Stegostoma tigrinum: one gene and its partner. The protein of the gene in region 1 interacts with the protein of each later gene in a pairwise test. Links are inferred from orthologs where the notes say so. Each region holds a gene or a part of one and is shown on either strand. Other genes may lie near its edges. The genes, in order: map1aa and rho-related GTP-binding protein RhoB.

The links.
Region 2: the proteins of map1aa (region 1) and rho-related GTP-binding protein RhoB interact in a two-hybrid assay, tested with the Homo sapiens proteins (2 studies listed by BioGRID and IntAct). The link is inferred for Stegostoma tigrinum from reciprocal best matches to the Homo sapiens genes MAP1A and RHOB.

What each region holds. Positions count from the first base shown.
Region 1 is NC_081389.1:21,678,443-21,688,431, forward strand, and holds the start of map1aa (microtubule-associated protein 1A), read left to right. Parts: upstream 1-5,391; 5' UTR 5,392-5,441; coding exon 5,442-5,652; intron 5,653-9,989. UniProt on the Homo sapiens protein: Structural protein involved in the filamentous cross-bridging between microtubules and other skeletal elements.
Region 2 is NC_081357.1:125,690,457-125,699,683, reverse strand, and holds rho-related GTP-binding protein RhoB, read left to right. Parts: upstream 1-5,219; 5' UTR 5,220-5,360; coding exon 5,361-5,951; 3' UTR 5,952-7,049; downstream 7,050-9,227. UniProt on the Homo sapiens protein: Mediates apoptosis in neoplastically transformed cells after DNA damage. Not essential for development but affects cell adhesion and growth factor signaling in transformed cells. Plays a negative role in tumorigenesis as deletion causes tumor formation.

The DNA of each region.
Region 1 (9,989 bases):
ACAGCATTGCGGGTGTCCCTATAACCCAAGGACTTCAGTGAGCAGGTAGCTCACCATCTTCTCCAGGGCAATTATGAATGAAAATTCATGCTGACCTAGCAGCACCCACATCCCATGAACAAATTGTAAATGAGTAATGTGATAATAACATTTTCTTTTCATGGTGTTCCTTCAAGAGTAAATATTGGCCCAAGAAATCTCTACCTCCCTTTCTCAGCATTTGGAGGCCCTGCAACTAAGTTTTTAGCTTCTCCCCTTATTCCTGCCCCATGTTTTCCCCCCATTCCATGATGTAACTACGTTACATTGAATTAAAACTGCTGCTACTTGGATGAATTAGTATCAGTTAATCTTCTGCCAAGGTGATAGACTTCAACTTCAATAAAGCTTTCACCCAGCTGCCAGGTTAGGATAGGCAAAGTGTGCTGTTGTAGTATACAAGACTATCATGTGCTGAATCAGAAGTGTGTGTGTGCGTTCAAGTCCCACCCAAGGAATCTGAGCAGCATGGAGGGTGTGCTGCATTGTCAGAAGTGCCATTCATCAGATGAGATGTTAAACCTTTGCCATGCCTGCTTCTCTAACCATTTAGCATCTTGAGAACTGTACCCCAGCAGCAAGGGTGGGGGGATCAGGGGTGATAACGGAAAGCTGAACAAAATGTAGGCACCTGTTTCTCCTTGTGGAATCAACCCTCTGTGTTAGTTCTCTTCATAATTTAGCCTTGCTGCAGAAATAATATCTCAGTGAGTCAGTGGTCAATCTATAAACAGGTTCCCTGGGGAGATGGTGGAAGCATATTGCATTGATTGAGTGTTTCAAATGGAATTAATAAAAATTCTTTAGGCAATTATAATTTGGGTTGCAGCTATTAGTATTTGGTTGGTGCAGTAGGATCAGGAAAAGTAGGTGACTTTGGGCCAATTGTTCCTGAATCTCCCCAACATTTCTTGCCTCCTGCCTGTGTCTGTTGTAGACTTATTGATAGAGATTGATCACTGTGATTATTTCAATAACTCCCATTATCATTTGTATCAAATTACTCAGGGCAGTGGAAGAAGAATTCAATGGATCTTATAATTTTACTCCTTATCAGTTCCTAGTTATTATACCATAACTACCAATGGAGATCAACATTAGTCTGGCTAAAGATCCACTAGTTTTATTTAATCAGTGTTATTAATTACAAGCTGCTTTCTCAGAAGGTAACTGATATGAAAGCTGATGAATTTATCTTGTGACAGCTCAAGTTCCACCTCAACAACTTGAGAATGAGCCAGGCCTGTCCTCTAGTGCACTACTGTGGGAGTGTGATGCTGTTGGACATACTGACATGTGGATGACCAGAAAATCTGCTACAGTGATTTTGTTTAAATATTGAGCAAGGCATCTGAGAGAAGGCCCCTTTTCTTTGGAGTGGCCCCATCCAGATGAGTGGACAGATGTGGCTTAACATCTCTCCTGAAGGATTGTGCATCTGACAGTGCAGCACTCCCAGCTGCAGAGTGAACAAAATCCTTGAAGTTTGTTTGACAATATTTACAGCAAGAAACAGGCTACTTAACAACATATTTATGCTTGCTTATATGTTCCACACCAGGCTTTTTCCACCTTATTTTATCAACAAATCCTTTGATTCCTCGCCTTCTCTTGTTTGTCCCACTTCCCTTTAAATTTATCTATCAGCACATTCTTACCACCCTGAGTAAGGAAATTTCTGCTGAATTCCCTATCGGATTTGTTGTGACTGTGTATATTTATGACCGCCCCACCCCCCACCCCACCTTTTCTAAGAACATATTCCCTAAGTCAGCCATCTCAAACTTCTTAGGAGCCTTAAATAACCTCTAACAAATCATAGGGGCACTCAATGGATTGATCCATCTCAAAGTCATTTCGCCCTCTCCTCTTGACCTTTGTGCTGAAGGTGACATTCCCCTCGGGGAGGAGGGAAGTGGATCAGAGTGCAGTAGTGATATCAGATGCTCAGAAGTGCAGGGTATTGCAGACATATGGAGTTTATGAATGCTGTCCTTGCGTTAATGGATTGCTTAGTGAAACCTAATATTGCTATAGGCTGACCAGATGTAATTGATCCTTGATGATTCAGTTGGAATTAAGTACTAGTGTTAAGTCCTCTAACTTAAAAGATTCAAGCAATTCCCTCAATGTTTCCATCACTAAGTGCATGGCTTGGTGTAATCTTTTACTTGCCGCAGTTGATATATATTTTAATTCATTCACAGGATCTGGTTGTCACATACTGGGCTTGTATTAATTACTAATCCCTTGTTGCCCAGAGGGCAACTAAGAGTCAACTGCCTTGCTGTGGACCTGGAGTCACGGAGGCCAGACCAGCAGAATTCTTTCCCTAAAAGGCATTGATGAACCAGTTTTTTTTATAAAATGACTGTGGCAACAGGGTCACCATTAAACCATCTCTTTAATTCCAGGATTCTAGATCAAACCATGGTGGGATTTGAAACCATGCCCCCAGAAGATTAGCCTGGGCTTCTGGATTTCTAAGCCAATGACATTACTACCATGCCACAACCTCCCATTTAGTCTCTTACCATGGGTTGATCTTGTTGATGGCCATTTGCTGTTGCTGGTGGGATTGGTCTCTGTATCCATTGAATTTGTGTATTAACTGAGGTAGCTGGCAAGAGAGAATTGCATTTATCTATCACTTTCACAATCTGAGTCCCCAAAGTGTTTCACAGTCAATCAAGCACTTTTGAAGGCGTGTGTTGTAATATCAAGTGAGACTTAGCCTGTTCAAAAATGTTTAGATTGCCTCGAGGTAGCACTGCCAAGAGGGAAGGTCAGTGGTATCTAACTTGTACACAGCAAGGCCCCACAAAAAGCAATGGGATTATTAACATGGAAATCTGTTTTTAATGTTGGCTGCAGAACAAATATTGGTAAGGAACCCAGGGAGACCTCTCCTGCCCTATTCCCAAAATCACCTTCAGATCTTACACAAAGACCATAAGATGTAGTAACAGAATGGGGCCATTTGGCCCATCAAGTCTGCTCTGCCATTCAATCTTGGCTAATATCTTTATCACCCCATTACTTTTAATTCTATATTAATCACGAACATATTGATCTGTGTCTTAAATACATTCAATGATTTGGCCTTCCCAGCCTTCTGTAGCAATGAGTTCCACAGATTGAGTACCTTCTGGCTGAAGAAAGTCCCCCTCATCTCATTTCTCAAGGGATGTCCCTCAGCACCTTCACTCTGAGGCTGTGTCCTTGTGTTCTAGCCTCTCCTACTGGTGGAAATATCTTCTCCATGTCCACTCTATCCAGGCCTCATTATTCTAAAAGTTTCACATCCGCCTGAGAGAGCAGACTTTGAGATAACAAGGTGTAGAACTGGATGAACACAGCAGGCCAAGTAGCATCAGAGGAGCAGTAAGGCTGACGTTTCGGGCCTAGACCCTTCCTTAACATCTGATCTGAAAAATAGCATTTTCAACAGTGCAGCACTCCATCAGTGCCACATTGGGATGTCAGCCTCAACTTGTCTGATCACATTTTCAGAATAGGAAACATTGAAAGGGACAGTGTGTTGGTCCCCAAGAATTTTGAGATACCCACTAATCTCTGCTGTAAGTGCTGCATGATTTTACTGTGATTTCCCTCCCCAGCTGCCACTGATTCTGACTGATCACTGGGGGGATGGGAACCTTAGGGATCTGAAGGGGATGGGCCAGTGATATTGGGAGAGGAAATGTGGACAGGGAGATCCAACAAACCTTATGTTACTTGGAGATGAGAAGAAAAAAGAGGGGGAGGGGAAAGTGCTGAAAGAAACTGAATTCTCTGCAAAATTAAATATGTGTCAATGAAATAGCTACTTATGCTGAATCATAGAGAGAACCGACAGCCAATGATCTGGAATATTCTGTGCTCTTATTCCTACCACTTGCTTCAGACTTGGCTAGCACTGTACAAAATCTACTGGATTGCACTCTGTAATGCCACTGTCCAATTCCACAGCAGTCAATTTGTCATGAACACAATGTCTGGAAATCCTCAAAGACCACTTTCCAAATTTTTGTTTCCTAGAATGTTCGTAGCGAAGGGAATAAGAGGCACAATTATTACTAACCGTGAGTTGTTATCACTTCAGCCAGAACTACAGTGCATTATTAAATGCAACAGTGATTCACATTGTGTCAGCAGAAAGCTGGGGCAATGTGATCTGATTGATGATGCTTTGATTAGTGACCAGCAGACGCTGCGATTCAGTGCCAACACCAGCCAGAGCCAGATTTCAGAGTGAAGGCTAACATGAATTCCCAGCTTTATGCTGCTATTGACACGTCTTCCGTAACGGGGGGAACGGGGAGAATCTGAAATGGGTGAAGCAATGTCATGAGTGTGGGAAGGAGTTCAGATGTGGATTGAGGAATTTCATGGGGAGAAGTTGGGATGGGTGGATGAATTTTGTTGGGGTAAATTTTATACTTGCATCTGCCATAGACAATCATATATGTGGTTCTGAAAAGGCAATTGCTTTGGTTATTGGAAACTACCCTCCTAACTTCAAAGTCAACAAGCTCTCCCATTAACCTTTAAGATGCTTAACATCTTTTGCTGCTGTTCTCAAAACACTGATTTTCCCCCTCAATCTAATACATACATGAAATGAGCATTGGACAATTGCAGGGTGTTGCAATTTGTCAAAAGCAGAGGTTCTGGAAATGAATGGCTGGTTAGGTATCTTCTGAAGTAGACACAGGTTAACATCCTCAACGTGAACGATGCTCCTCTATTAATTCCGATTAAAACATAGTGTGAATCTGTGAACTCCTCTCTTGGCCATTACAATTTGCAGCATTATCTATTTCAATTTCAGCCTTTTGGTCCCTTCAGCCTCTATCGTGGGCGAGGGGTCTATGCACCATGCCTTGTAGTTTGCTGCATGAAGGAATGGACAGCGTTCAGTGGTATAAAATGATGCAGGTTTGCCACTCTATCTGATGTATCCTACACTAACTGTCTCTGCACATTGGATGTGGGACCTAATCACCTCCAAAACTTGCAATCCAACCCAGGCTTTTTGTTGTACTGACAATGTTTTATTTGCAATAGATTTTAATGCGAAGATGTAGAATAGAATGGTTGCAAAACACCATACACGCGTACACTGCACCATTTTCAGCCCAGTCTTGCACTGTCGCAGAATTTTTTTTGAAAAAAGCGTTGTGCTCTTCTCTCTCTAGTAAGTTCGCCTACCCCTTCCCTAAAATCCCACCTTTCGTCTGCTCCTGACGTTCGGGATTGGCCCCAGTTGACATCATCCGAATGTCAGTCAAGATCCCAAGCCAATCCAGCGGGGTCTCAGCTTGTTTAAGAAGGCTCTGGGAGGTGTGAGTGGATGGAGAGGGTGTAGTTGTGTTGGCGATTTGATTGGCGTGGTTGCGATGGCGACGGCGGCCGGGGAAGCGATGCTCCCCGCTGCCCCGGAGCAGCGAGCGGCGGCGGCCGAGCAGTCCCCGGATCAGGTTCAGCACCACGGACAGCGACCGCAGTCCCCAGCGCCGTGCAACCTGCACACTTACTCCGTTCTGATTGTCGTTGGAGAAATCGCCACAGATAGTCAACTGAGATCAGCAATTCTCCACGTTGAACAAGGTGAGGAGACCGCCCAAGTAATAAAATAAGAAAGGATTAAATGATTAAGATAATGCTCCAACCGGAACCTGTCTGGAACTGGGCGAACTGCATTCTATTTTGTTTCGAAGATCAAAATATTTCTATTGCCTGTAAGCTATTTCAATGCAATTTAAATGGCAGCCACTTAATCCCAGCGTGTTGCAAATAGAAAGTTTTGCTGAAATAAGATTATTTTTCACTTTTTGGTGACAGTTCAACTTCTTTTTCCCCATCACCACGATGTTGAAGGCGGTGCAGCTTCCGTCCCTTCCTCTTTTTCAGCCGCCTGTTCCTCCTTCCAGCATTGTCTTTGAGCGACATTTTCTGGAGAAATGTTGCGGAGGTTTGCTAACTCTCTTGAAATCACTGAAGCGTTTCAAAGTATGAAGGTACCCCCGCTATTTTTAATCAACATGTATTATGATACAACTGAACATCTCTGGAGTAGATGGGACTTGAACCCGGAGTTTCTGGCCACCCAGGTAGCGACCCTACCACTGCACCACAAGAACCGTAACTCCAGTCCTGCTACACGTGGCTTTAGGATTTGAATATTGTGCACGCTAAATCACAACATATCTCACCATTTACCATAAGGTTCCTGGATGTGTTGGTCACCAGAACCTTCTAACAGCTGTTTCCTAATTAATAAAAAAAACTTATTTCAACTGAGATAGTGATAGATCTGAAGAAGGGTCTAGACCGGAAACGTCAGCTTCCCTGCTCCTCCGCTGCTGCCTGGCCTGCTGTGTTCATCCTGTTCTCAAACTTGTTTATAATCTTATTTCAACTGCTTTCCCTCTGGGCCTTGGTCGCTGACTTTTGCAAGTTGGGGAAGGAGTCAGAATATGTGCAGCACTATTTTCAAGGGTCCCAGGGTGTATGTTGCTATTTGCTGCAATATGTTGGTATTTCAAGAGGTCCCAGAGAATACCTCTGTATTCACGTGGGAGTCTGTCAGTATTGGCAGGCTCTCCCGGGAGCAGGTTAATACGTGCAGGGCCCACATGGGGCTGTGTTAATATTCTGGGATTTGAAGAGAGAGACATAACCCATGTTCCAAATCCTAGGGATAAAATTTCCCCTATGCTTCATCACACATAATTTGACATGGTGTCATTTAAGGACATATTAGGGAGGTGCCCTAAAGCTCAATTAAAGAGGTATATCTTAAATGAGCATAAAAGTAGGGAGTCTCCGGGATTAACAAGCAAGAATAGGCTGTTCAGCCCTCCAAGCTTGCAAGAGGCCAGAACTAGAGGATCCTGGGTTATAGAGCTGGAGGGAATTATTGAGAAAGGGACCAGAAAAGGCTCAAAAATTGAGTCAGTGCAGGTCGGTAAGCACAAGGCTGCTGGTTTAACAAGACTTGTTGGCAGATGTCTGAGCAATGCCACAGAGGTAGAAATGAGCATGGTGATGGATAGGATATTGAGTCAGATGATTAGCTCAGAGTTAATTAGGATGTCAGTGACCCCTCTAAGCTGCATGGAATTGCAGCTCATGCAGCAACCTGTTGTATGCTGTGCAGAGCACAAGCACCTTCTCCATAATGGAAGAAATCATACAAGGTAACAATCCATTCACATGTGAAAATTTAAGTGCATGTAGATGCCAAGGTAATGAACAATCTGACCCAGCCTCTATAAGAGGGCTTAAGGAAGGAATATGTCAGTGTTGATAGAAACTGCGTTTCTTGGCATTCAGGGCTGTGAATTCTTTGTGGTGTCATCAGGACAACCCTTGTACACCAGACCTGCCAACTGCAGCCAAGGTGGGGAGAAGGAGGAGTCTATTCAGCCCCTTTAAATCTGTTCTATCAGAGTGGGAGAATTCCAGAGTTTGGGGCCCAGCAAACTGTGCAAGCTGCACTTTAATACCACTGGCACAAGCCTGATATGAAAATACTGAGTTCTCTCATTCCCTTATCCATTGCAGGAGGGGCACAATCTCTTGAACATATCTGCAGCTCCATCTGTCAGTCTGAGTCAGTAATTGTGTTGTGGGAGATCTGTAACAAAACATTGAATAACTTGTCTCAACTGCACTTCCAAAAAATACAGTTTTATCTGTGTTGGGCTTATCAGAGAACACTGACCAGTTAAAGAACAATGTTGAGCAGAAGACAAGAGCTACATTGTGACTGGCTCACAGAGCTTTCTGCAGCATTTGTGTGAGGATAAACATCAAGGCATCTTAAAAATCCAGTGTGAAACACTGAAAGTCAAAGATCGAGATGATATGGGGTTACAATCATCTTGTCTTCAATCAACCAACATGGCATTTCACCCACGGAATTTGCAACATTCCCCATAAGAATCCAGGCTTTTTTTAAAAAAAATTCACAAAATGAGGACATCACTTGCTGGGCCAACATTTATTGCCCATCCCTAGTTTTCTAGAGGGCAGTTAAAAGTCAACCACAGATATAAATCTGGAGTTACATGTTGGCCAGATCAGATGAGGACAACAGTTTCCTTCCCTAAAGGTCATTAGCAAACCAGATGGGTTTTTCATACAATTGACAATGGAGTCCTGTTCATTAGACTCTTAATTCCAGATTTTAAAAAATATATTGAATTGAACTCCCACCATCTGCTGTGGCAAGATTTGAACCCAGATTTCCCCAAACCATTGCTTGGTTCCCTGGAGTAGTTCAGTGATAACACAACGAGGCCAATAACTCCCCACTTGGGCCAGTTGGTCTGCACCATCCCTGACTTGGTTTTGTCAGTGTTTGCTACTTGGCAGGCCAGGCTGCTTCCTGCTGCATTGTCCAAACCCAGTCAGGAAAGTGGGGTTTGCTGACTCCTGAAACTGATGTACACTCAGTGCCACCCCACCACACGTTCGGGGGTTGCTGCCAGTGATTAATCCTTACTTCCAAAAAGAACAGTGGCGTTCTGACAGAGACACCCTTTTTCCAACATTTAATATTTGTGGCTATTACTAAAGAAAAGAGAAGAATGCATTTATGTAGTGCCTTCCTCAATGCGTCAAATTCACCTGAGTAGTAAAGTCCTTTTGAGGTGCAGTCCCTGTCGTAACGTAGGAAATTTGGCTGCCAACATGTGCGAACAATGATATGATAACAACCAGATCATCAGTTTGAATGACGTTTGGTTAAGGATGAGTATTAGTTGATGTATTATGGTGAGCTCCTGTTTGTCCTCAAACCATGACCATGGTATCTTTGACATCCCCATGAGACATCAAATGGGGGCCTAAAAAATTAACATCTCATCTGAGAGGCAGCACCAGGAAAATCAGAGAATGCTGGAGAAACTCAGCAGGTGTGGTTGTGTCTGTGGAGAGAAATAGTTAATGTTTCAAGTCCAGGATGACCTTTCTACAGAACTGGACTGAAATGGTAACTTTTTTTCTCTCCACAGATGCTGTCAGACTTGTTGGGTTTCTCCAACATTCCCTGTTTTTACTTCATTTTAGATTTCCAGCATCTGCAGTGTTTTTCTTTTATACCAGGTGAATCAGCCTGCATGAACTGAAGAAAGTCTCTGGGGTTGGATTTGAACTGACGTTTTAAAGTCTGATTCATATGAGTAACAACGGCTGATTATTGGAGGCAGCAGCCTTATTGCATTAGTTCAAAACTTACCTAACCACCATTTTTCCTCTTATTCAGAATTATTTTTGTAACCTTCTTTAAGGGACATTGGTCCCTCACTGAAATTTCTATCAATAATTTAAAAATTCAGTGCAGCCCCGTGAGGTGCATTTTGTGTGCATTGAATTGTGCACCAGTTTAGTTCTATATTGCAACTGTGATCTTTGTGTCTGGAACTATTAGGGAGGAACTAGTAATGAGTAGCACTATTAAGACATTGAGCCATGATTTGTCCCTCTTGGAATGGACAATAACCCTGTGACATTTAGCTAAACAGACCAGGCAGGCTCAATCCTCAGTGCACATTGAGTCAGCCAAGGCACTTGACTCTTAGTCAGAGGTTCCCACTCCAGAGGCTTGAGCAAAAGATCAAAGTTAACAGAAAGGTAGTACCGAGGGAATGCCATCTTCCAGCTGAGATGTTGCCTTCTCAATTGTGACATAGATAATTCATTGCTCTAGTTCAACGTAGGGTACAAGAATTCTCCCTGATGTCACCTCCCAGATGGACAATGTTCACAATGAATCTGACTGTCCCGTACAGCACAAACACTTCACATGAACAAGTGTTATGTAGAATGAATGGCGTAAAAATAGAAAGCTAATCCCAGGAGCATTGCATTAAATTGGGTCTAATTAGAATTACCCTGACATGATAAAATGTGATTTTGACTGTCCATTTCACCCTTTG
Region 2 (9,227 bases), on another chromosome or scaffold:
CATTTCTATCCCACGCAAAAAGTGCCCATATCCTTGAAAGTTCTCCAGTCTGTATGACCCCACCTGAATTCCCTGCTCCTTGTAAGTGCAACATTATTTTTGTTGTATCCAGTGCCTTTTCCTTAGCAAACCACCCCCTGTGAAAAATATATACTGGGGAGACAACTATTCACTGAGAGCTGAAAGACACCTACAGCTTTCACCACTGCTAAGTATAGCAGTCAACAATTAAAGAACTGTGGCCTCAGGTTAAAAATCTAACATGTCATCATTTTTATTCCTGTCTCTACCAGTTAGCCTTTAAAAGAACTTATTACCTGAGTTTGCGTGTGTGATTGGTGTCATTTTTGGGGAGAAAGGATTAGTCAGCAAAAGAAAACTTTCTTTTCACTCAAGAAAGCCTTTATTTTGATCTACTAAATACATCTTTAATTAGTGTCAAATAGCTGCCTGATCAAAGAAATAAAAAATATGGGTTGCAATCAATCAAGCGGGGATTAAAAAGGGAGGAGCTGAGTTACCATTCTTCAGCTGGTCACAACAGGCTTGCATAACAAACTTGAGCAAATGAGTCTCACAACACTTCTGCTTCACACTAGCTACAGTGTGCAATGACACAAAGGGAAATTTAATACTGTAGTAAGTTCCAAGACAGCACACACATGTCAGTGTATCAGTTAACTCCAACATATGTTACAATAATTGCCACAACGTGCAAATTATGCATAGAGTCAGTGGGTCATCTTTGCCCATTGTTAGATGCAAGTGACACACATATTTTGTGCTTCCCTACTTGTAAAAATTTGCTTCCTTTTATCACTTCTTGCATTTTTTGGCACGTTGTTTCCATTATGAATCTTCTTTCTTCAGTTCTGTTCAAAAGTAGATCTGATTCACCACGTTATGATCATGTATTAAGCAAGAAAGCAGGTCCCGAATTCACCCAAGCCAGAACAAAGATCAAACCTAATGCCAGCAATATCAATCTGATTTGGACCTACTGTCCAACCAACTGAACCAACCAATCTCACAAGGGCTCTGAATTGCTGTAGCAACACATATTGTGACACACTGTGGTCCAGGCTGGTAGAGGTTCCAAATCTCTTCCCAGCACATGAGCGACCAGGAATCTGACCTATTCTTACCATCTACCATTTGTGTATGTTGCAAGGATTCACCATGCTATGTATACAACTTCCTTGGCTATCAAGTCCTGGAGTTGGACTTGAACATGAAGCTTCTGGATCAGAGGCAGGATTGCAACTGCTTCACTACAAGATTTATTATGAATTCACAAATTCTTATTTACAATTTCATAGACTTTGGAGAATCAGGGTTCTGATTAAAAATTTTCTGAAGATCTTATTAGTTGCCAGTTTTTTCTAAGCAACAAAATTAATAGCCTAAAATATTCAAAATTAGAAAAGAAATTGACATTTTCAGAATAATTGCAATTGTCTATTGAATTATCCTTTATTGCCTTCATTAAACTTTTCAACTGTCTCTTCAATAGTCTCTCCAAAAGCTTTGGCTTGCACTGCAAAAGCAGTGATTTCGTGAGCTGAATTTAAATTGAAAATACTATCTTAGGATTCATGTGCACCCTTCCGCAAGTTGTGCTGATAGAATATTTTTTCTTGAGGGTCTAATACTTTGCAGCCTTCCTTTGATGTTATTTTGAAAAAAAAGGATACTTCTCAAGATTTTATTGAGATAAAATTAAACCAAATGTGTTTTAACTAGAAAGCTTGTGAAAAACTGCATGTAAGAAACATTTTGACCATGCATTGAATAAACATCCGTTGTAGTTTAGATTGGATGATCATGGTGAGAGAAAAGGTGAGGTCATTCTGTTGCATTCTATGCATCTTGTACTAAGCAGTTTTTCAATTAGCAGATGAACATAAATGGTTTTGAATAGGCATATCTTGTTCTTTCCGGTGACTTTAATTGTTTAACATGTTCAAATGTGAATGGTACACTTCCTTTCACCTTAGAGCAATAGTTATGTTTGCTCATTTGCTCATGTTTACAGACATAACCCTCAAACAATGCACTGCTAAATATGCTGCATCTTCAGGCTCAGAGGTTTGGCAAGAGTTGGTGCAGAAAGAAGCAGGGAAAATTTATAACACTTTCTCTTCACTCTGATATACAAGCAATGGTGGTACATTTTCATCTGATTGTTACCATCGTGTGCTGTGTTTCTCAACAAAGTAAGATTTGCCAAATGTTCTTGTACTGATATTGTTTGGAATTATCTGAATGAACTGCTGAAAAGTACTAACAAGTCTCTGGATCTGAAATGTAAAGTATTTTAAGTTTGATCCTAAAAGTTTAGAGATTTATTTTCATTTTACGGCATTTCAACTTTAATTATTTGAAACAAAGCAAAATGTGACCAACAAAATAGTCTATGACTACGTCAAACAAATGATGAGTCATTCAAAATCAACAGAGACTGACTTTTTCAAATTATTTCACATTGGTATTCCTTGGAGGCAGTCGAGAGGGGAAAATTCCAATGTATTCTCAAAGCAGATGTACTCAGACTTCACAACCGATAAATCATAGTTGAATATTTAACTAACTGAATTTGTCTCTTGTCTCTACTTAGAAATCCTAGCTCCAGCTTCAGGTTTATTGATATCCTAACTATACAACAACAGTTTGCAGTTGATAACTTTCACTATTCACAGTTAGTCCTTGGGAGGTGATGTCTATGGAAACCCCAGACTAAGTGAGAGTGGGGAATCATAATCTACAGTGAATACTTTTACAATGAAAATAAATAAAAACAAACGAATAAATACATTTAATTAAATTCCAGACTAATTACGCATGCAATGATGGAGTTTCATTCAATTCTCTGACTAAAATGTTAGCCACTGCACACATTGCATTGAGAATGCTCCATTCAGGGTAAATAATTATCATGCGAGACATGGAGCTGAAATAAAGTGGGAAATCGAGTCTGCATTTCTAACCATCCCATCTAAGCACAGTTGATAATAAACACTCTCCATTGCTATTTTAAAATCTGTTTAGCCATTGACTGTGTTTCACCAAGGTGTAAGCAGCTTGAAATAATTTCGGTTTATGTTCATGGGCTGTAGCAGTTTGTGGAAAGTAACTGGTGTCGTTCATTGTGAAGTGATGCTACCCCAGTCCAACTCAAACATAACATAAACTTGAGTTCCATAACACTGACATCTTGAGCATGCTTTACATGCACATGACTTACTATCATTTACACAATGCAGGGATGAAACAAAAACATCTGGCATTGCAAAAATCATTTTTTTTCTGAATAAACTAAACAAAGAACTCCAGATGCTGAAGGTCTCAAACAGAAACAGAAATTGCTGGAGAAACTCAGCCGGTCTGGCATAAGAAAACTGAATTAATGATTTGAGTCCAGTGATCCACCAACAAAACTGTTAGCGGACAACAGGAAAGTGGTATTTATGCTAAAGTTAATGTTGAGGGAGGGGGTGGGGAAGGGGAAAGGTGAACAGCTAGGTGCAGGTGGAGCCCAGAATGAGAAAAATATGAAAGGGGGTAGATAAACAAGGAGATTACGGAAATCAGGCCAGGATAGAAGAACAGCTGAATAAGTGACAATAAGGGCTTAGTGTAGGAGAGAATTGGTATAATGTACTGAATGCAATGCATAGAATGTGATATTGAGCCCAGGAGTACATGAGAATGGGTGACTGTGCTAAAAGCAATGTCTATCATAACCAGATTCAGTGTGAAGTTTGGTTAAAAAAAATACATGGAAGGATGGAATCAGGTTCTGAAGCTAATGAACTCCATGCTGAGTCCTACAGGCTGCAGAATTTCCAAGTGGAAAATGAGGTGTTGTTCTTTGAGCATGGGTTGAGTTTCACTGGAGCACTGCAGCAACCCGAGACAGAGATGTTGGCCAGGGAACACAGTGGTGCATTGAAGTGACAGGAAACGGGAAGCTCAGAGTCATTTTTGCAGACAAAATGTAGGTGTTCCGTGAAGCACTCGCACTGTCAGTGTTTCTTCTCCCCGATGTAGATAAGACCACATTGTGAGCAGCCAATACAGTAGACTAGATTGAGTGAGGTGCAGGTAACTGCTGCTTCTGAAAACACATCAGCTCTGATGAAAACTAGACTCAGAACGTTAGTTTGCTCTCCCCACGGATGCTGTCTGACCCAGAGACAATAGGAACTGCAGATGCTGGAGAATCTGAGATAACAAGTTGTAGAGCTGGATGGGCGCGGCAGGCCAGGCAGCATCAGAGGAGCAGGAAAGCTGATGTTTCGGGCCTAGACCCTTCAGAATTTATTTTCTGAAGGGTCTAGGCCCGAAACGTCACTTGCTGCTCCTCGCTGTGTTCATCCACCTTTATACCTTGTTATCTGCTGTCTGACCCCGCTGCGACTTCCAGCATTTTATGTTTTCATACAGATTCCAGCATCTGCAGTAAATTCACTACTTCGGCTGGACCAAAACCAGCCCAGTTTGTCTCCTTCCACTACCGCACCACACAACCAGCCCAGCTCTTCTCCTCCACCCACTGCATCCCAAAACCAGTCCAGCCTGTCTCTGCCTCCCTAACCTGTTCTTCCTCTCACCTATCCTTCCTCCCACCCCAAGCCGCACCTCCATCTCCTACCTACTAACCTCATCCCACCTCCTTGACCTGTCCGTCTTCCCTGGGCTGACCTATCCCCTCCCAACCTCCCCACCTATACTCTCTCCACCTATCTTCTTTTCTCTCCATCTTCGGTCTGCCTCCCCCTCTCTCCCTATTTATTCCAGAACCCTCTCCCCATCCCCCTCTCTGATGAAGGGTCTAGGCCCGAAACGTCAGCTTTTGTGCTCCTGAGATGCTGCTGGGCCTGCTGTGTTCATCCAGCCTCATTTTATTATATTGGATTCTCCAGCATCTGCAGTTCCCATTATCACTTCGGCTGGAACGTGTGTTTGGGGCATTGGATGCTTTAAACTTCTTTGATGTAAAATGATATTGCTTCAAACGGTTTCTCCGCTGAGGAGAGATGAGTGGGAGTTTTTTTTCAATCGGCCACCCCCTCTTTGACTGCTCTCTCCTGCTGTCTGGGAGCACCTCCCCAACAGCCCGACTCCAATCAGTGAGCTCTTGCAGTCGATGAGCTCAGAGAGGAGCTTCCCATTGGATTGCTATATTTAGGAGGCAGCGCTACCCCTTTATAAAGGCAGCGCCGAAGCTGCAGCCCGGATCACACTGTATGAGTCAGTCGGTTGGTAGAGAGAGGGGGGGTCAATTGCACTCTAAAGCTCAGCGTTGCACCGATAGCTGCTGTTTGTGAAGCGGGTAGATACAGAGAGAAGTGGGGAGTATGGCTGCTATTCGGAAGAAGCTGGTGGTGGTGGGAGATGGAGCCTGCGGGAAGACCTGTCTCCTGATTGTCTTCAGCAAAGACGAGTTCCCCGAGGTCTATGTGCCGACTGTGTTTGAGAACTACGTGGCGGACATCGAGGTGGACGGGAAGCAGGTGGAGTTGGCTCTGTGGGACACGGCAGGCCAGGAGGACTACGACCGTCTGAGACCCCTCTCTTACCCGGACACCGATGTCATTCTGATGTGCTTCTCGGTGGACAGCCCGGACTCGCTGGAGAACATCCCCGAGAAGTGGGTGCCCGAAGTCAAACACTTCTGCCCCAACGTGCCCATCATTCTTGTGGCTAACAAGAAGGACCTGAGGAACGATGAGAACGTCAGGAACGAGCTGGCTCGAATGAAGCAGGAGCCGGTGAAGACCGAGGACGGCCGAGCCATGGCTGTCCGTATCGGAGCCTATGACTACCTGGAGTGTTCGGCTAAGACCAAGGAGGGGGTCCGGGAGGTGTTCGAGACGGCTACCCGGGCAGCCCTTCAGAAGAGAGCCCGACCCAGCACAGGCTGTACTAACTGCTGTTCCGTCTTATGATGCTGTTTACTACCGACTGACGCTCTCTGGGAAACCGAACTCTCATATTTATCACACTCTCTCTTCCCCCGTTTTGGACAGACTTCAATCGAGCGGGGGATGAGTCAACTGGGGAGTGAGGAGGGTTTTTTCTGGGGGGGGTGGAATGGGATGGGACAAGGTTCTCTCTCCTGAAGAGTCGATGGATCCACTGACTGGGGGGTGGGGTGGGGTTCGTTAAGCTCTTAACATCACATCACGTTGATTTTCGGCCAAGACTGGACCAGCGAACCCTTTTCCTGAGACTGTGTGCTGTGATGGGGCAGACTGGGACTGGAAATATGTCGTTGTTTGTGTGGTTTTTAATCTGTAAATTATCTGAGCATTTTTCACTCGCGAGAAAAGATTAGGACTCTTTGTCTTTAATGCCTCCTTGGTTCTATCTGGTAGACGGGAGGCAACAGAATGAGATCAAGCTTTGTCAAGGGGTTGGGGTGGATGGGGGTAGGGTACAGTCTCTATTCCTGGCTTCACTGTTTTTGGGGGTGGGGGCGCGGGAATGGTGTTAGATCGCACTGAGACTTGCTACAAGAACACGAGCCACTTCCTGCTCGGACACATTGCTGGACACTTCCTTCTCCCCCCCCCCCCCTCTCCCCCGCCCCCGAGTTGTTTTTTGGGGGTGGTGGCCGCGTATTGGTCTCCCTTACCATGTCCCTCTATCCAAGAATGACTGCTCTCAATGCCAAACCGTTCGAATTACTTTCTTATTTTGTAAAGTAAATACTGCTCTGGCATCTCACCCAAAAAAGTTTTGGGACATTTTAAAAAAAAAAATTGTTGAAGAATGAGAAGATGCATTTTCTGTGCTGACAGTGTTTCTTTCTAGAAGGGAAATGACAGCCCTTTTTAAAGAGGCTGAAAAGTGCATTTAATATTTTTGATACGTTTCCCAAGTGGGTACTGAGGTTGATCATTGTCTCAGTTTCAAAAAAAGACTAACGAAAAATGGCGAAGCTTGCAAGACGACGCGTTTGTTTACAGAATCCTATACTGAATTGTAAGCTGTGTACATCCATTTTCACGAAGGGAAATTATTAAATATAATCGGACCCCGTTCTTTTTGTATCTGGTTTGTAGTTATTTTGAATTTGCTGACGGGCAGAATGAGGTTTTTGTTTCAAACTTTACACCGGGTGTCTGCGCACTGTTCCTACACTTGTAACGAAGGGACCTTCACCTTTTGTTTTGCTGCCGTGAACAGACTGGGTGCGGGCAAAGTGCCTGTTTTTTTAAATCCCGAGCTCAAAATTGTAAGCGACCTACTGTTTTCTTTAAGCGGAGTCGGTCTTTGAAGAAATGGGTGCGGTCAGTTTTCTGCAGAGCCGATGCGCTCGGAGGTCTTTAAAAGAAGCCGCCTTACACACTCGACATGGCTTACTTGGAGTTTAGTGCCTTTTTATTTTCGGTGAATGTGTTCACTTGTGCGTTTAAAAATGAAGCATCACTTCCTCTGAATGCAAGCTTAACGATATTTTTACTGACTAAAATAATTGGCCTCGAGAAAACTGCTTTCATTGTAAACATTAAGCTCATGAGCAGTTAGATGGCATGCTGCGAAATGAACCAAGACTGTTGGGCGTAAAGCAAACAATTATCACCCGTTCTGTGTTGTTGAACAGTACAGATAACTGTTGTGGAGTACGGACTGCATTCAACTACTGATGCCCCTTCGTGACGACAGCGTCCCACCAGCCATGGGAGATGACTTTTATAGTAACTTGACCAAACTGTCATGGCAGGGGCTGTTAAATGGCTTGCTATTAAGTGTGGGTGATTGCCCCGTTCTTCCTCCCCACCCCATCAACTTTCCCCTGGTCTTCAATAGCTTTGGCTAAAATAGCCAGATAGAATTTAGCTGAAGTGCTACAACTGACTGGGACCACTACAGAAATTTTCTTACAGAATGCAAATAATTGTGCATCACTGTACAGTCATTTTTTTTTCAGTATGAATGGTTTTGAGTAACCTCTTTCAATGAGGGAAATGTTGCATTACCACTAACACTTTTTTCTTGGCTATATTTTCGATAGATTTCACTAATGTTCAGGCTATATGAAAATTGGGATGTTGGTAGATGCAATTTCACACTCTAAATTGCAGTTAGAAAATGATCTTGCCGAACATGCTGAGTTTTTCAGTAGTTTATTTTTGAAACCTTGTACTTTCCTCCTTTCAATTTTTTAAACTGCCTTCAATATTGCACATTAGTCTGTTTTGTTTTTCCTGGTGCTGCTGTCTTTTGATTCTTTAATTGTTCTGTTTAGTGACTTTTGGGGTGGGGGGGGGAAGTACCAACAGAATGATCTGTTTTGGTAAAGCAAGCACTAGAATTTTGCAACACTGAAAATGCTCAATAGGCAGCAAACCTGTCTGCCTTTGAAATCAATGTTTTCAATTCTTGTGTTACACTGGTGATTCAGGCCCACAGGGTGAAATCTAAGAACTGAAATCCTCCAATGCAAATCAACTTATGCGCCTATACACAAACCATGCTTGTGGCCCTGCTGCATAGTTAACTGTTTGAATCACTTGTGTGATTACAGTAATGATTAAGGTAATTACACTTAGATCATGCTTTATGTATTTTTTAAACTGCAAGATAGTTTGTCATTCCTGCATGGGTGGGGAAATGGTTGCTTTGATTACAGCCAATCATTGGTCACTTGGATAGCAGAAGCCCCCAAACAAATGCTGGTACTTGTATGGCAGCTATTGTGGATGATTGAATTCACCTATTTGTTTGGTCTTGTGACTGACTTGCTGAATAAAAGCCAGAAGGGGCAACAAATCTAAATCTGCAGGCACTTGTGAACATAGCTGGCAAAAGAACAGATTGTCTGTCTGCTTGCCTACCTGATTTCAACTGTGGTTTAAGGGGAAGTTGCAGTTCAATTTTTCACTTTTCCATTTGGGAGTGATCTAATTTCTAGAATGCCCTCTTCCCTTGTGCAGAATGGGGAGACTTGATGCTCCCAGATATTTAATACAACATGATTTGACTATGCCAATAATAAGGCTTTTCAGGACATGAGCAGTTGAGTTTGTCTTTCAGTTTAGAACATTGGTCTAAGGTTCTGTTCAGAGTCCATGCTTAGAATTTGGGCTTCTCTTTCGTGGACTATAATGGGTCCAGTGTGTGTATCCTCACTCCATGTTATAATATTTGGTACCACATTTTGTTCAGGACATGCAAAGAAATAATACTATTTAAAAATTGAAGTGTAGCTCTGTTGA